Linked DNA regions of Caenorhabditis elegans. The protein of the gene in region 2 purifies or fractionates together with the protein of the main gene of each other region. This does not show direct contact. Each region holds a gene or a part of one and is shown on either strand. Other genes may lie near its edges. The genes, in order: K09F6.10 and C54G4.2.

What was found.
Region 1: the proteins of C54G4.2 (region 2) and K09F6.10 fractionate together in Caenorhabditis elegans (co-fractionation; one large-scale study listed by BioGRID). This does not show direct contact.

Annotation. Positions count from the first base shown.
Region 1 is NC_003280.10:2,281,555-2,293,373, forward strand, and holds K09F6.10 (DNA-directed DNA polymerase), read right to left. Parts: upstream 7,330-11,819; 5' UTR 7,228-7,329; intron 7,184-7,227; 5' UTR 6,979-7,183; coding exon 6,556-6,978; intron 6,508-6,555; coding exon 5,779-6,507; downstream 1-5,778. Other genes in the region: K09F6.9 (Major sperm protein), read right to left, coding at 1-1,145; K09F6.13 (Nuclear receptor domain-containing protein), read left to right, coding at 8,243-8,492, 8,547-8,689; K09F6.7 (RING-type domain-containing protein), read right to left, coding at 9,363-9,445, 9,493-9,745, 9,795-10,037, 10,156-10,224, 10,279-10,454, 10,498-10,573.
Region 2 is NC_003279.8:8,000,838-8,013,340, reverse strand, and holds C54G4.2 (Bromo domain-containing protein), read right to left. Parts: upstream 6,707-12,503; 5' UTR 6,692-6,706; coding exon 6,464-6,691; intron 6,169-6,463; coding exon 5,881-6,168; intron 5,435-5,880; coding exon 5,136-5,434; intron 5,082-5,135; coding exon 4,963-5,081; intron 4,915-4,962; coding exon 4,748-4,914; intron 4,483-4,747; coding exon 4,312-4,482; 3' UTR 4,225-4,311; downstream 1-4,224. Other genes in the region: C54G4.3 (Methyl-accepting chemotaxis protein), read left to right, coding at 7,057-7,071, 7,129-7,383, 7,455-7,667, 7,819-7,947, 7,995-8,150; C54G4.4 (Sushi, von Willebrand factor type A, EGF and pentraxin domain-containing protein 1), read left to right, coding at 10,162-10,727, 11,799-11,993, 12,338-12,449.

The DNA.
Region 1 (11,819 bases), on a different chromosome or scaffold from region 2:
AGATTTTCCTTCTTCTGCTTTTCCTCTAGTTCACGTTTTTCCTTCTCCAAAGCTTTAGCTCTTGCCTCAGCTTGCCGATGTCGTTCAATGTGTTCACGACGCTCTTTTTCCACACGTTCAAGATTTTCCTTCTTCTGCTTTTCCTCTAGTTCACGTTTTTCCTTCTCCAAAGCTTTAGCTCTTGCCTCAGCTTGCCGATGTCGTTCAATGTGTTCACGACGCTCTTTTTCCACACGTTCAAGATTTTCCTTCTTCTGCTTTTCCTCTTGTTCGCGTTTTTCCTTTTCCAAAGCTTCAGCTCTTGCCTCAGCTTGCCGATGTCGTTCAATGTGATCGCTGCGATCTTTTTGCGTGGCACGTTCACGATCTTCCTTCTTCATCTTTTCCTCTTGTTCACGTTTTTCCTTTTCCAATGCTTCAGCTTGCTTATGCCGTGCTATGTGAGCATCCCGCTCGGCTTTTTGCGCATCACGACGTTTCTCCTCATTTTCCTCCGCCTTTTTTTGTGTCTCAATATATTTTTTCCGTGCTTCATCATGGTATTTTTGATCGTCTTGCGCATTCTGTTCAGCCTTTTTATGAGTGTCTAGATGCTTCTCACGCTGTTCGTCTTTATCAGTCCGAACCTTTCTAGCAAATTCTTCGGCCTTTTTATGAGTAGCCAAATGTTTTTCACGTTGTTTATTCTTTTCTTCTTTTTCTCGAGCAATCCTCTCCTCCTCGTCCTTTTTGGCTTTTGCCTCCAGTTCCCGAACCTTGTTGATGATTACGTCTCTTTCGATTAATGGTTCGGCCGACGATTTTGGTCGCTTTACCTGCTCATTTTCCAAAATCAATGGCGCACCACGCTTCATTCGAGGCTTTTGAACACCGTTTAGTGAATTTACCACGTGAGAAAGGTTGTCATACTGTGCCGCAGGAAAGGTGACATTGATTGGTTCTCTATTTTTGAAATGAATCCAATAGTTGAGAGGTCGACCAACGTTTACAAACGAATATGGGTAAATAATATCTGTTACCGCTACAGAGTATTCGTCTTTTTCCAAATGCAAAACTTGCGGCAGACGCGTAACATAACGAGAAGATGTATTTTCAAATTGAGCATTTTTGACGGAAGACGGTAGAGTTACATAAAAATCGTTCATGACTAGAGCTCACAAGTTACTTGATGTCTATTTATAGCTATATAAAGAACTGAAAACTGCTTTCAATCAAAAATGTTTTTGATTTTACCACTTCTACCACTACTACCACTAGCATCAAGTGTCTCTGTTTTCACAAAGACGGTTCCCTCCAGACTATTAGATGGTGATTTGTCAAATTTACCATTTGAAACAAATTTATTTGTAAACTTTTGCGGATACAATAAGAATGGCGAACCAAACTTGAGATGGTTTTATAAAATGGAAGATTCAATAATTGATGATGGACTACGTGTTCAGGTTGCCAACGACAAATGCAAATTTGAAATTATTGGTTCGGACGATATGCTAATGCAGTGTGACGGTAGACTTTTTCGCGTACGGGGTAAAACAGTTACACGGTTTTATGACTATGCAGAACTCTTTGCATTCGATCATGTTCAAAAGCAATTTTATGTTTATCTACACGGGGGCATACGCCATGTTAGGCCTGGAAATTCCACCATCACACTAAAATCGATTTCAAATGTTCGCGATTTTAACGTTGTTGACGGAGTTTTCACCGTTTTATTTCAAAATGGTACAATAAAATACAACAACAAGGTGCTGGCACAGGTGGATCCAAAGTCTTATTCGAGATTACCAATTTATGCTGCTCCAGATTACGTGGCTACTCCTAAACTTGATAAGGAAGATTATTCTAATATAATTTCGCTAATATTTTTCATAATTGGATCAATAACCGTCTTGGTGTTGGAACAATGCGGGCGTCAGTCTGCTCGAGTATATCGTCGGAAATCGCAAGTTTCAATACCACTCGAAGAAGAACAGCCGCATTGCTCACTATAAATATACTGACATTTTCAATATCACCACACCACACCATGTCCATGTCCATGTCTCGATCAAACGGTTCGTCACCACGACTAGGATTTCAATTTCGTTTTCCATCTCAGACTACAATCATTGGCGCCACACAATCTGGTAAAACTACACTATTGAGAAAAATTTTGGAAAATTGTTCAGAGACGTTTGAAAAGCCAATTGACAATATATTTTGGTTTTATGGCGTAGATACACCCACTCGGCAATTCGTATCGTACATTCCTCGCATTTTCCTCGTACATTTAGAAGGAAGTCCGGAATGTACGACAAAACTGTAAGTGTAAAAAGGAGACACGACCAATATACGAGGAACATACGACAAGATTAGGAGAAAAACAAAATGTAATGTTGCCGCGCTCATATCTCGTCGCGCATTCATCGCACATTGTGGCTCGCTGTTCTTGCACGTCGTACATTCCTCGTATGTTTCCAAAGTACCACTGTTGAGAATTGAACTTGCCTGTTTACTGTCCTAGTTGGTTTCTAAATCAAACTTCTTACCTGTTGATCCATGACGGTCGCGAGATACGAAGTTTATAATTGGTTATTTAAAGAGGATGCGCTCAGCTGGTGAGAGTTTCAGTTCAATCAGATATTATTGTCTGTTTGATTTGAAAATGTTGAAGTGTTTCTTGAAGCAGAATATTTATGAAACTTAGTAGAATTATTCACAAGTATTAGGTTGGCAGGAAAGTTCTGTCCTATTTTTCAATCATTTATTTCTTGAAGCAAACTCAAACAAAAATCAGTTACATGCTGCATCATGATCAACAATGTACTTCCAACGTTGAGATTACTTGTGGATTCCCTGCCCTAAAATCCAGCGGGCAGGATTTCAAAGTATTGCATTAGTGCCACTTTGAGATTTTTTTCTAATTGTGAAGGTTCTACTTTGAAGTACACGAGTCACATCAGAGAAAAGCCAATAATCACTAGAAGCAATGTCAGGAGAATTTGGTTGCTGATAGAATCATCCATCCATATTTTGCCAGCTCCTGCTTCACTTGTTTTTCAACATGTGGTTGGGCGTTATTATGTTGGGAATATACTTTCTTATCCCTCAAGGCTGAACGATCGACTGCTTTATTCAAATTCTGTAGTTGTCTTGAGTGGGGTTCTCCGGTAATAATCTCCCCCTCACAAGTCAGGATGGTAACAGCTCCCAGTTGAGGGGACATCCACTTGCCGATCAAACAGAGAGAATACTTTTTTTCGGGTGAAGATCGGGTTTCGGGACATCCTGTGGGGCTTCTCCTTCTCCAATCCACAGGGCTTGCCTACCGCCGTGGAGAGTGAGAAGGCTTTATGAAACACCAGTTCGGCGGTCAAGGATGGAACGGGTCAAATAATGAGCTACTAATCGAGCAATTTCAAGCCATCTGCAAAGGAGACTATGATGAACCCCAAACGTGCTTGCAAGCTCACTTGTAGTTTTAAATGGATCCGATTCAACACTGGCATTTAGTGCAATCAAATGTAGCTCACACGGTCTTTCAGGGCATTTCTTTTCATTCAAAGAAAAGTCGCTACTTCCGAAACGATCGAACCATCTTTGTATGATTTTATACGATGGAGAAAAATAAACTTTCATCAAAAGAGTCTTGAATCCTTCATTATGGTGTTGATTACTGCAGACTTTTTTCCTGCTTATCAATCTCTAGGAGTGAATAAACACCGAAATTGATCTGCAGCCCACAATGACAAAACAAATAGGGCAAAACTTTCTTGTCAACCTAATATTAGCAAGTATAATTTATCCTATTTCATTCTGTCGAGAAAATAGTTGAAAAAGTTGAAAAATGGTGGAAAATATCCAGTAAAACGAGCTGCAGAGACCTCAATATACGCACGTTTCAAGCCTTTGTCGTACATTCCTCGTAGGTTCCAGAGGATATACGAGGAATGTACGACTAGCGCCCACTATTTGGCTTGAGAGGCGCAACATGCGAGGAATTTACGAGGAAAATGCGAGGAATTTACGATACGAATTGCCGAGCAGTATACCAAGACACTTGCACAACTTTCATGCAATCGAAGGATTACCAGACGTTGATCTTTTAAAGCAACACAAACATCAGAATAACATTCTAGTCTGTGACGATTTGATGAACTTTTTTGCACGAGATAAAAAATCCCTCCATCTGCTCAACGACTTGTTTTGTCTTTATGCTCATCATCTCAATTGTGCAATTTTCAATTTGGTCCAGTCTGCGTTTACACTCCCGCCAATAACCCGAAACAACAGTACCTACATTATTTTGATGCGAAACTTGTCGGACGCCTCTCAAATCAAACACCTACTAATGCAGCAATTTGGAGACGTATGGAGAGGAGCCTTCGAAGCATACCAGGATGTAATGTCGAAACCATATCAGGCGCTATTAATTAACAACGACCCATTATCTCTTCCTACTATGCGTATTTTATCAAACTTTACAAACGAGTATCCTACAGCCAATGTCCCTATATAAATGATTTATAAATTGTATTTGATCTTTTGCTAACAAATGGCTGCCCATTTAATTGTTCACACTGATTTCTTGCATTCTGTTTTGAAACGTAATCGTATTGCTATTCGAGATGCTTCGAGCAAAGAAATAAATATTCTAGTTGAAATTGTGTACAACATGCTTAATTCTAAAAATATTCCGTTAAATCTAGCAGAATATCAAATTTTGCAGCCGATACACGATCAACTAACTACCATTTCACGTACCAATGATGTCAACAATGCGAGGAAATTACTATTTAAGCTTTCAAAAAAGCAATTGGCTACGCTTGTTATTCCTTCACTTATTGCAACAAATCTCTGGAAATGAAGTTGATTCGCAAATATCACATGATACCCTACGAGAATGGGTCTGCATATGAATCTGCCAAGCGTTTTTTATCCGCATCAGATGTTGATCCAACTACAAAGTGCCGTTTTTACCAAGATGTATTATACCGCATCCGAAACCACCCTGAACTACCAATTGTCACTGACGAATTATTTGATGTTGTTCAAGAAAATTTACAACAACAGAATGACAATCAAAAGAGAAATGTGAAGCTAGAGAGACGTAATTTAAAATATGAAGCCATTCCTGAAAAGAGAGAATCATATCAAGAAAAAGATTATAGGAATCCTCCTGTTTATAAAGCGGAAAATGAACAATTGTTTGATGACGTGCCGAACCACAATGATGGAATAAATCATTTAAAGCCCCTCAAAAACGTTTACATCAAAGAAGAGCCCGAGGATGAGGATTATCATATGGAATACGAAAAAATTCCAAAAATAAATATGGAGCAAAATAATGTAAATGAACTTTTTACGGAACCACAAAAAAATACGCCTGGAAAAATGAAAACGTCCAAAAATGAAAAGAAAGACGGAACTCTCAGTAGACCTAAAAAGAAGAGCGTGGTGAAAGTAGAAGCAAAAACAGAATCCGATCAAGAGATTGAAGAACCCGATGAAGATATGCAAGCTGCTCCACCGAGGAAACCAGAGGAAAAAACTGAGGAAATCACACCAGTTTCAATTAAAAAACGATCGTTTCAGCAAGACGCCACAAAGAATCTAAACAAGAGACAAAAGTTTGATCTCAAGAGAGGAAAGAGCATGAATAACGTGAAACCAAGAAAACTTTATAAAATGCAGCTGGAAGAGGATGAGGAAGATGAAGAGCCGATGGTTGATGAGACGCCACAAAACACTGAGATTTCCATTAAAAAGAGACCAGTTCAACAGGATTCCACAAAAAACTTAAACAAGAGGCAGAAATTTGATTTGAAAAGAAGAAAGAATATGAGTAGAGTGAGGCCTCCATTTTTTTTGTTTTTCCAAATTTCGAAGTGTCCTGGCGACCGTAGGTGCGGCGTGTGAGCATTCGTGAGGACCGTTTATTCTTTGACGACAGATTTTACAAAAAGCGTTGTCGTGGCATTTGTGTACAGTTTTGGAATATGAATCTTTACGATGTATGAATCCACATTTTTTGCATTTTTCATATCGTTCGCAAAATGACAAGGATAGTTTAGACGGCTTTACTAAATGAGATTCATAACATGATTCACTTTGAAACACAATGTTGCATTTTTCACAAATCTTGCCTACTCCATTCTTCTCGCAATTGGTGACACCACATCTCCGACATTTGGCCCCGCATGTTTGGTAATGTCGGCGACCAGAGTATTGATTACATTTGAAACAAAATCCGGTATTGACGTAATCAATCCTCGGTACAAAAAAATCAAAGTGGTTGTCGACATACAGAAGTGGAATGAATCCTTTTGCACCTTTATTTGCTTCAAAAATTTTCGCCGTAGCCTTTGAACCGCTTTTCAGCCCCCACACACAAATGTTATGCAGATGGTCTGCAATTTTCTGTAAATCATCGAATCCATGTTCTTCGCGGTCGCAATCCAGCCCAACAGATGTTGCCAAACTCTTTGCAAGTTGTAGTTGTTTTCCTTTTCGGTGATCCAGACATTTCTGAAAGTAAAAATATAGATGAATCATTTAAAAATTAAAAAAACTTACGTCTTGTCTCGTCAGGTTTCTAAAATCCTTTGCTTCTTGTCCTTTTGTTTTTGTCGATTTCGAATCATACCAAAGTTTACCAATGACTATTGCCTTCAAAAGACAATGAGTGAATCCAACAACGTTTGGGTATTTTGACCCGAATAACATTAGCCTATCTTTAGAAATTTCTACTGATCCCTTTCCGCGAACTGATTCGTCCTTTGTGAACACTCTCATTGTTAACGTGAATGTTCCATCGTCAACGCATAGTCCCTTCTTTGACTGCATTTGTTCGGCAATTATATTCATCAGAGTATATCCGTCGGCCATCTCGTATGTCTGGTGCATTATCCAAAATCCATCATCTTCCTCGTAAGCTTCATGTTTCAGATTCAACCAATATTCCGTAGTTTCTAGATTACCACCAGCCTTTTGAATCATTGAACGAATGAAAATATCAAACAGCTTTCCAATGTTTTTGTCAAGAGTTTTGTTTCTAGGTAGATTTTCAAGGTTCCGGAAGCTGAATCGCGTTGGTTTGGTTTTGACAGATTCTTTAGATGCACGTTTCAAATCCACACAATCTTCAAATTTTGTGAATTTTCAAAATGCCGTAGTTCCTTGTCCGTTGGAAAAGTCTTGGATGCTGAAAAAAATATATTAAAAACTTTTACAATTAAAAAAACTCACGTTTTGTTTTTACATCCTTACCGTCGCTTTTCGTTGCCATCCTGAATACTTTTTAGATGTGTGAACTTTCGCTTGGGTTTTTACAACCAGTGTGTGGTTGCTCGCAAAAATGATCAACTTTCTTCACTGTGCTTGGGTATTTATACCACTAGGAAAGTGGTTAGGGGCGTGTTTTTGAATGGAAAACCTATAGTACCGCTGGGACCACACCATCTGTCTCCAATTGTTGCGAAATAGTCTCATTGCGAAATTTGTTTGAAGCTCATTCTATGACCATGAAAATCTTGCTAGAAGCTCCTCCCTTTTTTCTAAATCTCACGTCATTTGCGTTTTTGAAACGTTCTCTCGGTCGGGGACACTTGTTTTATGTCTTCATTTTCAAATTTCACTTATCCGGAAATCTAAACTGGTTAGGGGCGTATTTTTGAATGGAAAACCTATGGTTCCGCTGGGAATATAGATTTTTGTATATTTCTAAAAGATTTTTGTATAAGATTACGACACATCGGATCCTACTCCCAAATTCTGTAAATCCTTGTTGCAACCAATCTGTATATTTCTAAAGATTTTTGTATAAGATTACGACATCGGCTCCTACTCCCAAATGCTATGTTAACCAATTTGCATGAAACATGTAGATTTCTAAAGATTTCGACATCGGCTCCTCTTTGACAGCTGTCATGCGTCGTGCACGTTTTCGCGCATGTCTTCCGAATCACTGCCATCTGCTCGATAGAGGGGCGGGTGGTTTCTAGAGTATAAATGGAGCTTCTTTTCGGATTTTCTTTTACTGATACAATTTCACAAGTCTCCTTCCCTTTTGAATGATCGCCTTTGCCCACTGGGACCTGTCACCAATTGTTGCGAAATAGTCTCATTGCGAAATAGTTTCATTGCGAAATTTGTTGAAGCTCATTCTATGACCATGAAAATCTTGCTAGAAGCTCCGCCCTTTTTTCCAAATCTCACGTCATTTGCGTTTTGAAACGTTATCTCGGTCGGTGACACTTGTTTCATGTCTTCATTTTCAAATTTCACTTATCCGGACCCTAGTCCCGGAAATGTGTTTTGGAACTTTAACGATAATCCCCAACTCCTTTCACCCCAAAATTTACAATTTTCACCGTTAGAAAATGTTCCCAATGATCATATTCCTGATATTCATATTCCTATCGATCCCGAACCAGTGTGTGTAAAGAAGAAAAAGAAAAACGTACCAGCAAAAACGAATACGACCAAATCTGGAAAGCCGCTTGAGAAAAAAGGTAATTTTTAAAAAGTTTTTTTCAATTACTATGAATAATTATTTTTAATTTCAGATCCTGAGTTTGCTTTCCGGAAAATGGAACCACTCGTCGCAATAATATTTTGTAAGACTTGTCAGGACGGTGCACAATATGATGGATCAACTTTGAAAATTGACGTTTGTAAGAAATGCCGTAAAAAATATTGGAAATTATAAAATTTGATTGTTGTTGTCTTATTAATTTAATCAACTGAATAAATATTTACAAAAAAAAGTCTTGTTTGAAGAAACCTGCTATTTGAAGTTTTCGAAAACGAAAACTTCAAATAGCACAGGTAACATTAATTGAAGTAACGTTCAAATGTTCAACTTAAACTCTTGAAACCCCCAGGGGCGGGGCGTGGGGGGCCTCCTTCCTATGATTCATCAATCTAGGTAACACTTGCATTCATGCAAATCGTCTCTTGTTGCTTTGGGAAAAGATGCCATCTGTTCATGTAAATCGTGTCCTGGGTTCGAATCCGGTCCGGGGAAAAACAAAAATTATGAAATAAAAAGTTATGAAATAATGTTATGAAATTAATAATAATCATTTGAATTATTACAGAAACCCAATTTCGAAAATAGTTTCGAAAAAAGCTCTGTCTGACTTTCTCTAAATCTCTCGAAAACGCACGCTATTTCAAAAATCGACAATCAAATCACAAAAATCCTGGTTAAAAAACTGTCCCCTGGTTGAGAGGACCAAGAACACCCCAAAAAATCGATAGTTTCTTACTATAACCAAGTCTCTCACTCTCTCGTCTTTCTCTGAATCTCTCGATTCACACACTATTCGTGACCGTCTGCGGTCAAAAATCCTCGGGGTGGTGAAAAAGCCACTCTATCACTACTTTCGGGTTATTGTTGCCACTGGAATATCAATTGGTTTGATGCATACATTAATATCCTGTGATTCGATTGTATAATATTCTGAAATCTAGTAATTTATTCTTAGCTTCAAATGCAATAATAGCTACCTTCATCACAACAATCTTTTGTTTTGTTTAGCAAATCCTCTGCTGCTGTTATACATGCTATTGCGTTGTTCCTTTTCTTTGCCTCAGTTGCTTTACGAACATATTCAGTTAACTTTTGGTGAGATCTTAACAGCGGAGGTAATGCACTATCATTTTCATCCAAAATTGACTTTGCCACTTCCTTTAATTTGACGAGTGCCTCCTTTTCACGTTCATTAACCATTTCACGAATTCTGGAGTAAAAAGTAGTTATCTGAAAAAATGTAATACACATTTCAATCGCGTTTTCATAAACACCTAACCTCATTTGCTTTTTGTTGGTAATTATTTCCACCTTCGCGAAACGCAATTTGTGACATCCTGAGCTTTCGAACATCTTGATCAATCTCGCCTATTGTCTTATTCAAGCGATTTATCCTCCCCTGAAGCAATTCGCGTGATTTTTCCATTTCCGCAATCAACGATTTTTTCGTATGATGCAAATGAGATAGAGTCGATACACATTTGCGGCACATGTATTTTCCCGATTCGGAACAATCCTCTTCCTTCAAATAACTAACACTTTAAGCTCGTAAGGATCAATGAGAAAGTTCTTTGAAAAGCAATTTAAAATTTAATTTCCACAAGTGAGTGGAAAAAAAAAAATTTAATAAAGTGACCTACCACGCATACGGTTTCCACCAAGTAATCAGGGTGATGTTTGCACTTTTCCAACATTGGCTCCTCTACTTCCTGAAAAAGTCCAATGTGCTTGAATCAATGAAAAAACTTATTATCTTTATTTACTGTTATCTTAGTGGTTTTTGCGAATAGTTGAATCGCTTGAATCAATGCAAAGTTCTTGTGCAAACTTTCCATCTTGTTTCCCGGCATATCGGTTGGCTCGCGACAAAATGGGCATACAATTTTGCTATTACCTAACATTTTTTTGATGCAACCTTCACATAACGTGTGTGAACACTCTGAAATTTTAACTTTACAAAGACCACGCAAAAAATCACTCACTTAGATTTCGCGGAGAGTGATCTCCATCTTCGCTTGAATAGTCGTCATTACAGATTTCACATTTTGGCATTGACATTTTCAGTTTTGAATTGGTGTGGTTAAGAATGGTGACAGTTACCACTGAAAAACCATTAAATATGCAATTTCTTCCTCATTCTTAGATATAAATGTCATATTTATGAGGCAGTCCTGTTTCAATGCACCTTTCAAGTAATACTCTAAGAAATTGCTCAAAATCTATTGAGATGAATAGCAAACCTCCTGAACTCACGGGATCATTCATATAATTTTGCGAAAAATTTTGATCTACACTTTATCACGCCCTAGTTCAATTCAAAAAATTATGTGGCTTTAATTAAAAATGAGAAGTATTAGGAATTGTTGGTTTTTTGACATTCTTGCTAAGGACGAGCGGGCTGACATAAAACTCTGTCAACAGCTTGACTTTATGGAGCTTGCCAGAAATGTGACCTTCTCTCTGTTTTCTCTTCATTTACATAAATTATTTGATTTTGGACTTTGATTTTGAATGTTTGGAAAAAAGATCAACCAAAACTGCTTGAAAGTTTTGATTTCACCAAAAAGCGCTCGAAAAAATAGAAAAAAAAACGATTGAAGTTGAAATCGATAAAGTTATTTCTCACTGTTAGATAACAATGTAGCGAGCAAACTCTCGTTTTAGATGAAACTAAAACGACAGGAATTCTTATCGCACAGTTTCAACCTAAACTAATTTTTCGATGATTATTTGCAAATGTTGAATTTCCATGCTCAAATTTGATAGTTGGTAGGTTTGCAATCAGATCCTTTGAGTCAGATGGCGAATGCTCTGAAAATGTTTCACGAAATGAATAAAAAATAATGTACACTCAAAAGACACACTAACTTCCAATATCTGAACTATAGCACCATTCCGGAATTTCCAGTTCAATACCAGCTCCATACAAAACACCATCGTTCATATCTATACAGTGCGTGCAACTTCTATAGCGCCCCCTATTTTATCGCGTTTCACGCCATTCTGATTTTTTTCTTGAAAAACTGACAATGCCATTCGATTTCAAATGTCAAAAAACCCCTTGTCCAAAATTTTCAAGAAAAAATAACAAAATTTGATGTGACTAGGTCAAAAAATCGTAAAAACGGCCGTGCAACTTCTATAGCGCCCCTTCTGAATTTTGATATTTTTTCCAACAAAACCACATTTTTTGACATTTCTAGACACAGCAAGATAACAAAACGGAGTCAATTTGATTCAGATATCATAGTGATCAATTCTCGGCAGAAATATTATACGTGGAGATTCTTAGGATCCCGCAATT
Region 2 (12,503 bases):
AAGAGAAATGGAAGATATAAACAGGAAATATCAAAACAACACTTCTACTGCTTCTAGGTACCTAGATTTGGGGAATTCGTCTAACGAAGAGAAAACTAACCAAGCTAATCAACAAAATATTAACGAGAGGAATGATGGGGCCTGTATAAATTTAGTTTCTAGCGATAAATATTAAGAATAAATATCTTGAAGCTTTTAAAATAACCTAAATTAATCACTTCTGCTTTTAAAGAAACTCAAATCAATTAGAAATAAACATTTTGCAAAAAAACCAGTGATACACTAAACATCAAACGAAATATGAAAGAAAAGTTCACTGGCCAGAAATTAAAACTAGGAATTTCAAATCTTAATACTTGAAACTGAAAAGCTCAAAATGAAAACAAGTTCATTAGTTGTTTTCATCGGAATTTTTTCAGAAAAGTAATACATTTATCTTTTAATGTTTTGTATTTTTCAAAATATTTTCGAATCTATTTTAAAATATTCACCAAAATTAGTTTTATTTTTTAAAAGGGTGTAATGGTTCCGCCCACATCTTGGTTGTTTTGCCGTTTTGCACCCACGATGGAAAAGTGAATAGAAAAAATTCTTCATACTATTTTTTAGAGTTAAAATCAAGTTTGCATTCGACTTGTGTTTTTGCTAGTCAATGAAAATTCTGCATCTGACAGCATAATTTAAAAGTTTTCTAGAGTTCACACACAAATCATATTTAAAAATATTTGATTACTTTCCGAACCCCAGGAGCAAAAGTTATAGGAACATTTATGAAAAACGTTGGACACAGCTTGTCACAATAATTGTTTTTTTTGCTATAACTATAATTATCATCACGAAAAAAGAGTAAAAGACCACAGAGAACACAAAGTTGGTCACAAAAGTAAAATGACCTCAAATGAAAAATGCAGATGGGCGAGAAAGGGTCGAATTTACATTTGCATGTGTATTTGGACTGCCAACTTAAAGTTTATGCATTCTACGTAATCAAGTTTCAGAAATTAATGGGATTATGATTAGAAAATGACATTTGCAATTATAGAGATCAATTTAATATGAATGAATTAACTGAAAGTGCAAAAATTCTGCAAAAACTAGAGTGAAATTAGTAATTCATCTGGAAGGAAAAAAACGATAGTTATTTTGTTGAAATTAGATTTTAGGATGAAAAATAAATTTTTTGTTCAAATGAGAGATGAAGAATTGATCCAAACGTGTTGCTGAAAATAGAACATTTAAAATTTGTCGAACCTGATATTTAGGGTGTGCGGAAAATCTACAAAATTGCTGATTTCTCTGCAATAAGCAAACTTATGAAAGCAAAAGCAATTTGAAAAATTCGAAAACTCTCTGGAAATAATCCTAAATTTTGTTTGAAATAGAGCCCAACTACCGAAACTTGCCAAAACTTTGACCCATTTTTTCAGCAGTGACTAACTTTCAGTCTTTAGATACTTTTAAAAAAATTCAATCAAAACAAGAATTGTGTTCAAATTGACTAAATATTATTCTACATTATATTAATTTTTTATCTAAAACAACCATATCGAAAAGAGAACATTTGCCGTACAACCCTCTTTTTGAAGAGACACTATCAAAGATCAGAGACCATTTTAGATAACACTAATTAAGTTCAAACGGAATTTTACATGGGAAAGAATCACAAATATTTTATAAGAATCAAAAAAAAAAGAACATTTTTAATAATTTTTTGATATAGCCTATGCAATGTGTTGTTTGTGTGTGTGTGGTGTGTGTCGTCGTCGGTTTTTCCCCGCTTCAATGGCATTGAAGAGAGAAACGAAAAGAAAAAGAATAGTGAGAGATTAATGGTTTATAGTAGAGACTCAGACACATTTTTTGGAGAAATGAAATATAAAGATTAGAGAAATGAGTGAAAAAGCAGGATCAGTAATTACGATTGAGCACAAAAAAGGATTTTGAAAAATCAAGTGTTTGGGAAATGTGATTATTATGGCAGAACAAGAACAAAATAATAATAATATTATTCATGAATTATAGACCAAGGTCACAACAAATCATGAATCATACAAGTTCCTACAAGCTTCTGATTTTGGAAAATATATGCCCGCAAACTAGAAAACTACTATTTGAAAATTTGTATCTATCAAAAAAAAAGAAAAAGAAAAATACACAATTAATTTTGAAAAGGGACAAAAATTCCGATTCAAAAATAGCGAACCTATTGCAAAAATTTCTGATTGAATTTAAAAAAAAATTAGCAGTTTGAAGGGAAAAACAAGAAAATAGCTGCATGAATACGTCATGCAACAAATCTCATGAAAATCGGAGCAAATGAAATTAACAAAACCGAGGATGATCTCAATCCTAAGTCAGTTAATACGTTCGTGTTTTTTTTTAGATTCTTGAACCGCATTATTTAATTTTAATTTCACGTTACTGATTTTTATGCAAATAAAATATGAACACAATACAACACAAGGTTCACATGAGTTAAAAGTTCGGGCGCGAGTTGGGCGAGTGAAGAGGCGAGGAGAAGCGCCCCCAGTCTCGGCGTATCAAAACGACTCACAATATCTTTTTAAAAAACAAACAAATTCCTTAATTACATAATGTAAAGTTTTGAGAGTTCAAATTTCCTAGCTCTCCAAAAATCTCCAGAAAAAGTAATTTCAAAAAGTGAATGATTGTAAAAGTACATTTCTGGAACAAAAGGCTTGATGAGAAAGGTGGCCAAACATAGCACATCGTCATCATTTTTCTTCGTCTCATCAACACTTGACGACCAAATGGGCGCCCTTTGGCAACAGGTTTCATCTTTTTTCAACACACCGTTCTTTTTATCTATATTTCTCTCTCCCCCCCCTCTCTCTCTCTCTCTTTCTCGCACATTTTTGTAAATTTAGAAAAGAGAGAGAGAAAATGTCATTTGACAAACACAAAGTTTACCCAGCGCTCTGGTTATATAAAATAGTTGTCTTTTCGTCTAGGCACACTAGAAAATAATCGGAAGAGGGAAAAACGTTTCAATCGTTTGTTTAACACTTCTATACACAGATCACTCAGTGGGAATGACACTAATTTTGGAATTTGAAATTAATTTGAAGATTGACAGTTTTTTATTGAAAATTTAAAAAAAATCATATGGTTTAGAAATTAGAAATTCTGACAAATTCTGACAAATTAATTTGAAAAAAATCCACTAATTTCAAGACCTGTAGAATTGCATTGAACCTGTCCTTGAAAAATATGTGTTCTCGGCCAACTTTTTTGAAAAATTTCTCCTGAACATTGTTCACATAATATCTACATACTTTATAGTCAGTGAAAAATGTACTGAAAAAAGGTTGGAGGTTTACTAAAACATGAATTTCCAAATCAATGCAATACCCACACTCCGAAAAAATGTGTTAGAAAAAAAAATGCAGGGATCGAAAATTCGAAATATTCCTGTCTTTTGCGACGTCGCGCCTATCAGTTGCTGATAAGCGGGTAAAATTGAAAAAAGAGGAGAGAAAATGTACACATGTTTACCAATGCAACAACTTTCGAGGTCAATGAAGGAAATATTAAACCGATCAATGTCATAAAAATAGGAAATAATAGGGAACGCCAAAATTAATCGATCCTAAAATAATGTTAGCAAGGTACACAAATTGACAGAAAAAAAAACAATTCAGAGGAATTTCAGATAACTGACTAGTTCTGAAACGTGCAATCTATTTCCCGAACAGTAAAGAGATTCGAAAGCCCAATTTATTCAGCTATATAAGTGGAGAGTTTTGAAAAGTTGCTCTAATAGTAAGACCGTCCCAAATATCAATATCCAAATCGAATTAAAATTAAAATTTTCATCGAAAAGTTCAAATATTTTTCTATATTGCTGTATAAATTTTTAAAGAAAAGCTTTGACACAACATGGAGAAACATGGAATTCTGTAAAGGTGCCGAAAAAATCTTCCTCACAAATCTGTTTGCTACCATATTCTGAACATGAAAAAAAATATCAAAACAGAATTAGATAGAAAGTAATGTTTTTCATATTTTATCACTTGAATTGGTAGTAAAATCAGTAGTTTCAGCAAAGTTACATAGTATTTTCTGAAATTATTGATTTTTGCTCATATGGAAAGTGAAACAATTTTGCTCGTTTGGAAAAAGTCATTGTAATGTCAACAAGCTTGAAATCTTAGTTCTTCCAGAGAAACTTTAAAATTTATTTAATCTAAAACAGTAATTGAAAAGTAGATTTATTGACATGTTAGCCCGTTTGTATTGAATTGAATAATACCAAGAAAATCATAAAGTGCTCTTTCGTTGTTGCTCCTCTTACGCATTCTCACGAGAAGCTTCGCGAGAAGCAGATTCTCGTGATCCTTCACGAGAAACAGGCTCCCGTGAGCCCTCTCGTGAACCTCTTCTTGCCTGATCCATCGCTGAGCGGAGACGTTTTTTGTACTTTTTACGGAACTTTTGAATCGAGAGCACCGGGCGACGTCTCTGGAAATTTAAGTTTGTTTTTCACACTATTTTGAGTATTTCAACGCAAAAATATCCAGGGTTCGCCCAAAGGCACATGGTGCATCGATTGAAAATACCTTTGGCAGCGTATCTGGATCGTCTTTAATGAAAAACTGACAACTATTCATTATTTGTTTCTCTATATTAGTTCAATTAAAAAATCAATGACATCTTCGTATAAAACACCTGCCGAAATAGTATACACAATGCGGTAAGCCTGAGCACTGTAAACCCTCAAACTCACATCATAGCTGATGCTAAACGTGCTTTCCATTTTGAACGTAATCGACGTCACCACACATGTCTTCTCATTTTCATTGCCGTTTTCTTTCGATGTCTTCAGAGCTTCTTCCTTCCTACGACGCTCCGCTGCTGTTGTCTGCTCCTGAGCGGCAAATCGGTCAATCGCTTCTAAAAGTAGGTTATTTGTAATAAGAAAGTCTAATCACACTCTCTCACCTTTACTCAAAGTCAACAAATTCGACATGGTGTAGTAATTCACCGAGTTCATTCTGAAGAACTTCTCAGATCGATCTTGCAGCGCAGCCATCGTGTCATATGGGTTGAGTTGGTCTCTGCTGAAAACATTTAACAATCCATTTATCCTTTTCCAGTACTTATCCAAAACCTACCTCTCCTCAATAATCCCATCATCCATTTTCCCTGTTGTATAATCCTCGACCAGCCCAATCCATTGCTTTCCATCCTCAATCTTCAGTCCGTCTTCAGCAACCGCCGCTAGTAGCTCAGGATATCTTGTCATGACTCCGTCCTCTGTCATTACTGGCTCTTTTCGATCGGGGACAATCCAGACTGGTTCACCATTCTCCTTGAAGATGTTTCGATCGAGTGGTCGATGTTTTCTGGATCGTCGCTTGATTATTTTCACAGAGTTCGCCACTTGGCATGACTCGGGCATCACTTCGAGGTTCTGAAAAAAATACAAACGACTTTCGCTACAGTAGTTTGGGTATATCAGCAATTCTCTTACTAAACGCTAAAAAGTTTGAATCTTGATGGTACTTTTTTGAATCTTGATGGTACTGTGTATTATACCCCCGCCATTTTAGAACTTAATTAAATTTCTATTAATTTACCACTTAAATTATACGTGATAACCGTTTTTTTCGTTAGGCTTAGGAACGATGTTTTCCTAACGCCTAAAAATACATAGAAAATTCACACGTTTTTATTTTATTAGTGGCGGGGGTATAATACACAAGTACCATCTTGATCTGAATAAGAGCACTAGTAGCTTAGCAGAACGGCACTTATAGTCGTACTATAGGAATATCCGGAAAGCTGATAGAAAACCAACAAACCAGGTAAGTTCTACAGTAGAATCTCTATACAGGTTTCCTGTTCACATGAACTTACATCATCTCTCTTCTTCAAACTAGGGTTCTTCATTGACTTTTGTGATTCCATCATCCGTTTAAAAAACTTTTGCGCCAGGATCATATGGAACTTCTTTTCACTTTTCTCCTTTTCTTCTTCCACATAAACCACTGGTCGTCTGCCATTTTTCATTTCTATATTTTCTGGCACTTTTTTGTCTTCTTCTGTTGAATTTTGTTTTTTGTGAAGGTGGCTAACAAACTTGGTATTTCCATTTGATGGTTCTCCTTCAGTATGGTCTCCGATACTGCTTATTAAGTCGCTTGTCTGAAATTTTTTGATTGATTGTGAGTTTATTGCTTTAAAAAATGGGTAGCAGCCAAAATTGAATGCAGATATCAGTATCAGGGGCATCATTGGTCCTGCTGCATCCACCGATGCTCTACTTTATCAGCTCTCGGTCATCTCAAATTTTATCAAAAATTTTTAAGTGGCAAAATGTTCAGTAAGTTCTTTTCTATAGTTTTGTAGTTGACTATTTATTGATATCTCCAAGCTAAAAAAAGATATAAGCTACTGGAAAGCTAAACTTGGTGCTTCGACTCCCTACTTTTCAGTTTACCTTCATAGTGGACTCAGTCGACGGTGTTATTGAAGCCGACTTTCGTTTTTTCTGATCTCTTTTTTTTTCTTCCTTTTCCGGAGACTTTGTCTTGCTCTTTGGTCGACGCTTCTTGGATTCGACGACTTTCTTTGGTTTCTGTTGAGCAGCAGCACCTGTCGATCGATTCCTTTCACAATTTGATCCGGATTCTTTTGATTTAAGGACCACTGTCTTTTTTTGATGCATTTTGATCAAATTGAATGTGAGGAATAAATGAGAATACTGATAATTAAAGTAATTAGTACAAGGACGTGAAAAAATTTTCAAAAATTTCGTTATTAAAAAAAGTGTGCATATTATAATTTTAAATAGCTCGTGAAGTGGAATTTATTTTCGGAGCACTTCTTCAAATTAAACTTTTTAAATTTAGCACGTTACTTTCAATTTATTGTGTTTTATAAATACCTATTTTTCCGTGAACTGTCTTTTATTCTTAGAATTGTTGATCCCCTTGTAGATCTGTTGGAACTTATCGGGAAAAAAATCAATAGAATATATTTATTCCCGATTATTCTCAAGTTGGTCGTCCCTGTCAGGAATTGATTGTTAAGATGGATGTCAAGCATGTAAGTTTTTAACTTTTTCGACTGTAATTATGGGTTTAAAAACAATCAACCTTTCAGAATTCCCAAAAAGAAATGATCGAACGTAGTCTGAATGCAACGGAAAAAGCGATCGAATCAATTCGTGAAGGTGAACTAGTTCGTCGTCATACTGATTTGGAACTTCGTGATATGCAAATATCAATGAATGAAGATTTCGATCGTATTCGTGGAATGATGCATGAGTTGGATGAACAAATTCACAAGGACCGCTCTGGAAATTCGAAGTGGATGAATCAGAAAATGGAGAAGGCTAAGGCTACTGCTGATCAAGCGGTAAGTCAAGAATTTTCCTGAGAAAGGTTTTTGAACACACAAGCTTCAGCATTTAATCATTCTCATTTTAGTTAGCCTCTACATTGATGGTCAAAGATGTCCAACTATTGGAAAAGAAGGTCAACATCCTAAAAGAATCAGTGGTTCAAGTGAATAAGTCATTTTATAAATATGAGAAGGACGTTGATATGAATGATTTAATGGATCAAGTTATTGATATGGTGCATCGTACGGAAAAGAAGGAACAAGATGCATTGGAGGCCCATGCAACTGATGAACAAGCTGTGAGTTGTGAACGATAGTAGCTCAGCTGGAAGTATAGATATAAAAAGTTATCAACTGACAATATATTCCAAATTTTACAGAAGCCATTTTGTTAGTTGATAACTTTTTGATAGCTCATCAAGATATACCAATTCAAATATCATTTGTCAGATTGGAAAAGCCTTCCGTGGAGCAATTGAGGGCCTCTATGGTCTGAAATCTTCCAATTCAAAGGTCATGGAAGAAGCTAAACTGTTGGCTGGAGAGATGCGTGTTTTTAGAGATGCTGCCTCTAACAAGGTGTGCTCATTAACTTCTTTCTACCTCAATAACCTGAATTATTCCAGAACTTCCACACAATGATCTCGAGAATTGCATCGAATACTGCTACATCTGGAGTTCCCTTGAAATACAGCAGCGGTCCTGAGAGCAGTTTTTCGACTTCTGCATACACTTCGTTTTCTAAATCCGCCAACAACTCTTCTATGTCTGGATCTAATTAATTGCTACTTGCCTTTGTCTTTTTGTATTGTATTGTGAGAAAATCAATAAATATTGATTGATTTTTTTCGTTTTTTTTGCAATTCCAGACAAGCGAAGATTTTGAACAGCTATAAACGTGCGCACCAGGGGTGTGCGGCAAATCTCAAAATTTGCCGAGCTCGGCAAATTCGGCAAATTTGCCGTGCTTAACAGACTCGGAAAAATTTGATATTTCTTGATGTTTTTTGGAGCACCAAAACTACCGAATTCTTAACACACATCTGGTTTCTGAATAAGTTCCGTGTAGTGTGTCTGCTTAAACATGAAAACAACTCAATTTTGTGTCATTTTACTAAATTTTTGGCGAAAAAATCAATAGTTTTAGTCAAAATTGTACTGTCAAATTTTTGACATGTGCGGCAAATTTCGAGATTTGCCGAGCTCGGCAAATTCGGCAAATCTACTTTTTTGAAATTTGCCGTGCTCGGCAAACGGCAAATTCGGCAAATTCGGCAAATTTGCCGCACACCCTGGTGCGCACTGCACTAGACTATTAATTTTCACTGAAAGTTTTGCTACTTCTCGAGCGAAAAATGCGTCTGAGGATATGTCAGCAAATTGTTGGAAAGCGAGCATCATAACTTTTAATCAAATGATTCCATATGCCTCATTTCTAAATATAAGGGTAAAATGGGAAAAAAAAACTTTTTCTTTTGAGGTTCGCATTTACATCTTGTGGCTAAGATCCCAACATTCAGAACATTTTTCTGTTTCATTGTTTCCGTCATCGAACTTTTCACACTTTTTGGTGTTTTTCCTCTTTTCATTATTATCCCTTCAATTCTCATTCTCCGAAGTTTCACCAATTTGTTAATCCGCATTTTTGTCGCCTCTTCGTTCTTCCGCACACTTCCGGACTGCCATCACCTGCGAGAAAGAGAGAGAGAGAGCTTGCTCGCTTCGAGCCATCAAAAAACGGCGTAAGTGATAGGTTGATTTATGCGCATAGAGCCTGTACAAAACGTGGGCAAAAGCTTGAGAACTATCCAATTTCTCATGTGCACTTGTCACTTTCAAGAGGTGCTCTGCAATGGAAAAAGCGCGCATACAAATATTATACAGTTCGAGTGAAAAAGAAGGAAAACATGGATCCAATTACCGCACTGACTGGACTACGGAGGTCTACTTGTATAACAAAAGGGAACAATTGGATCAATTTTTATTTGTATGCCGAGAGTTTTTCAACAATCTCAACTCAGTCGGAATGTTGTCGAAGAATTACAAAAAAAGGATCTCAAAGAACAAGTTGTGTATTTTTCAAAAACAGTCGACTTGTTTTGTTGGACGTTTTACAAAAAACAGGAATTACTATAAAATTGACACAAACCAAAAGTTGTCGTTTTATCCTTTGATGGATTTTCAGATCTCTGCCCAGAACAAACAAAAAACTGTGTCTATATATTATAAATTTGCTAACTTCCACTTCCAGAAATCCCAGATACTACAAAGACGAAAATCTAGCAAATTTTAATAAAAGAGTACGGTATCCAGTGACATCATTAAAAACATTCAAGCGAAAACAAGTGTGCGCTTTTAAGAAGTACAGTAGTTGTCTTGTGTGCATATTGTCGTGTCTCACTCAGTCAGTAGCACTGAAATTGTGAATTTCACATTTGTATCTTTTTTAAGTTTATTTTCAAGTGAGTTGTCGTTGGAGGCAACATTTGGTATTGGTGGAAACTGAAAACAACTCGGCAATTTAGCTTATGAAAAAGTTAGTTGCAGTTAAATAATGAGAATTCTCAAAATGTTGCAAAAAATTTGACAAGTTGTTCCGATACATACTTTGACAAGAATTTGTAACCTGTACGACGGAGTAAGTTGCCAAAGGTTGAAGTTGATCTCAAAATAGTAGTATACATCTAAATAAACTAATGCTCATCCCTTTCCCCTCTCAACACATTCCAAAGACATGCTCCCTGTAAAATCCGTTTTTTTTGCAAACACAGAACACTGGCTTAACAATCGGCAATGATCAGAGCAAAACAACGGCTTTCTCAGATCGTCGCGGCCATCCAAATTATCTCTGTTGCTCTTTCTCATTCCATCCAGACACATCTATTGTATTTACCCCCTCTCACCTGGAAGGGGGCTCAATCGCGCGGGCGCCCTCCTCGAGTCGTCCGCTCATCGCCGCCTCTCTCCCTCTCTCTGAGGGGCTCTCATTCTTGCTCCCTCACAGGAGCAAACTCTTCGGCCACCACCGTATGTAGATACATTCTCTTCGTTTTTCTTCTGCTCTCCTCCCGGTCATATCTCATACACAACACCCCTCCAATACGTACAAATACACAATATAACAACATACAGACACTTCTCTCTCTCTTCCCGACTATTCATTCCAAACATTTTTTGTTATTCATGGTCCTTTACCAGTTACTTTTTCTACTCTTTTTCCGTAGAGTAAATGGGCTCACTTTTCCACCAACATCTCCAATTTCCCATATATATTGTCTTCAACCATATGTACCCGAAAATGCTCATGTGATATTTAATGAGCCTGGACCGTACGCAACGGATACTGTTGCAAAATACAGGTAAAAATAGAATACTCCAGAAAAAATTTAATTTAAAAATTATCTTATGATTAATTGAAAGTGTTCCAAAAACATTACACCATTATCTTGTCAAATGAGGTTTTCCGTTTTTATTTTTCATTAAAAATTCAAAGGTTTCAGATAAAAATCGTCAAATTTTTGTTGTTGCAAAAAATCTTCAAACCCCGTTTTCGATGTTGGTGATCACCCAGTCGAGCTAGACGGGCGCCTCTCACCTGACTCTTCATTCGCCCAAAAATTACCTTTTTTACTTTTTTGGAGGCGCTTACCGAGCGTAAAGCAGGGATGAGGAATGTCCGATTTGTAGCCAACTAGATAAAAAACAATTAGAAACAGTTCAGATTAAAATTTCCAAATTATTACAAAAAAAGAGATAAATAGTTCCAGTTTCCAATTTTTCATTCGAAGTTTTTCAAATTCCCGTGCAAAATCTTAACTTTTCCTTTCCGGTATCGGTTTCAGTTTCAACCCCCCCCCCCCCCCCCCCCCAGTTCCTCATCAAAGTTTTCCTGTTTGCCGACCCGATTTGCGCGCATTTCTCACACGAGAACACGCGGCCGGGAGCCCAATTGTGCCAGTCACACATTCACCACAAAATTTAACCGTTTTTGACGTATGAAATGTGATTCCTCAATGTGTTCCAGTTTCTCATGAGAACTTCAAAATGTGATGGTGGCGGAGGTGGGGGAGGGAGAACATCAGATGAAACGTTCGAAAGATCACATTTTTATTGGCATAGACTAAAGTCTTGTAATGTATATAGGAAGACAAATATATTATTTAAATCTAAACAATCTACCGAAGTCTTAGCACTTTTAGTCTGTGGGAAACTTTCTCAAAATCATCATTGAGAGGCTTGAACCAAGATTGTTCTATTTTCCGGTGTTTTTCGAAGGAAAAAAAAACGATTTCTACAAAAATTAAAAAATTGAATTTTTCTTCCGAAAAATCAAAAAGGTTCCGTTTTTTTTTAATTTAAAATTTTTTAAATAAAATTATTAAAAAATCAAAGAAAAGTTAAAATGTTTCAATTATAATATATATTTTCAGTTGTGCCCTTGGATTCGATTTAATTGGTTCAGAAGAACGAACGTGCCTTTCCGATGGATCCTGGTCTGATGAGCCACCAATTTGTGCAATTGACGTTGCATACAATAAGCCTGTGACTCAATCATCCGGTAATGTGGCAATGTCGCTTGGTGGCACAATGTGCACAATGACTAATGATGAGTCAAAGTCATTTTGGTGAGTTATTTTCAAAGAAATTCCAGTTTTTGAGATTGTTAGGCTGAGAACTTCCAATTACTCGCCTGATATCTTGCAACTGTCGTATGCTAGTTCCCATCATTGGTGAATTTTTTCAGCCTTCGAGCTTGTCTGCTGAAATTAAGATAATTTTCATATAAATGTTTAGCCCCCGAAAAAAGTGCTGTAAACACTGTAGAATTTGGCCAAAGCCTGACTATTGGAAGCTGCGTTTTACGTATCACAAAAAATAAATATTGGCGGCAATTATAACTTAATTTTGAAAAGTACCAAGTAACCAATATGTGCAAACTACAATGTTTTTTATTCAATTATTTTTTTAGGGAAGTTGATCTACTTGGTGACTATTCCATACGATCAATCTCAATGAGATTGGGTACAAAATCATCACCAATTGTATCTGTGGAAGCGATCGAAACTGGTGGAGCTGTACATGTGAGATTTCCAGATACCTGCATGGCCTTAGATTTTTCTACAAAAAAATAATAA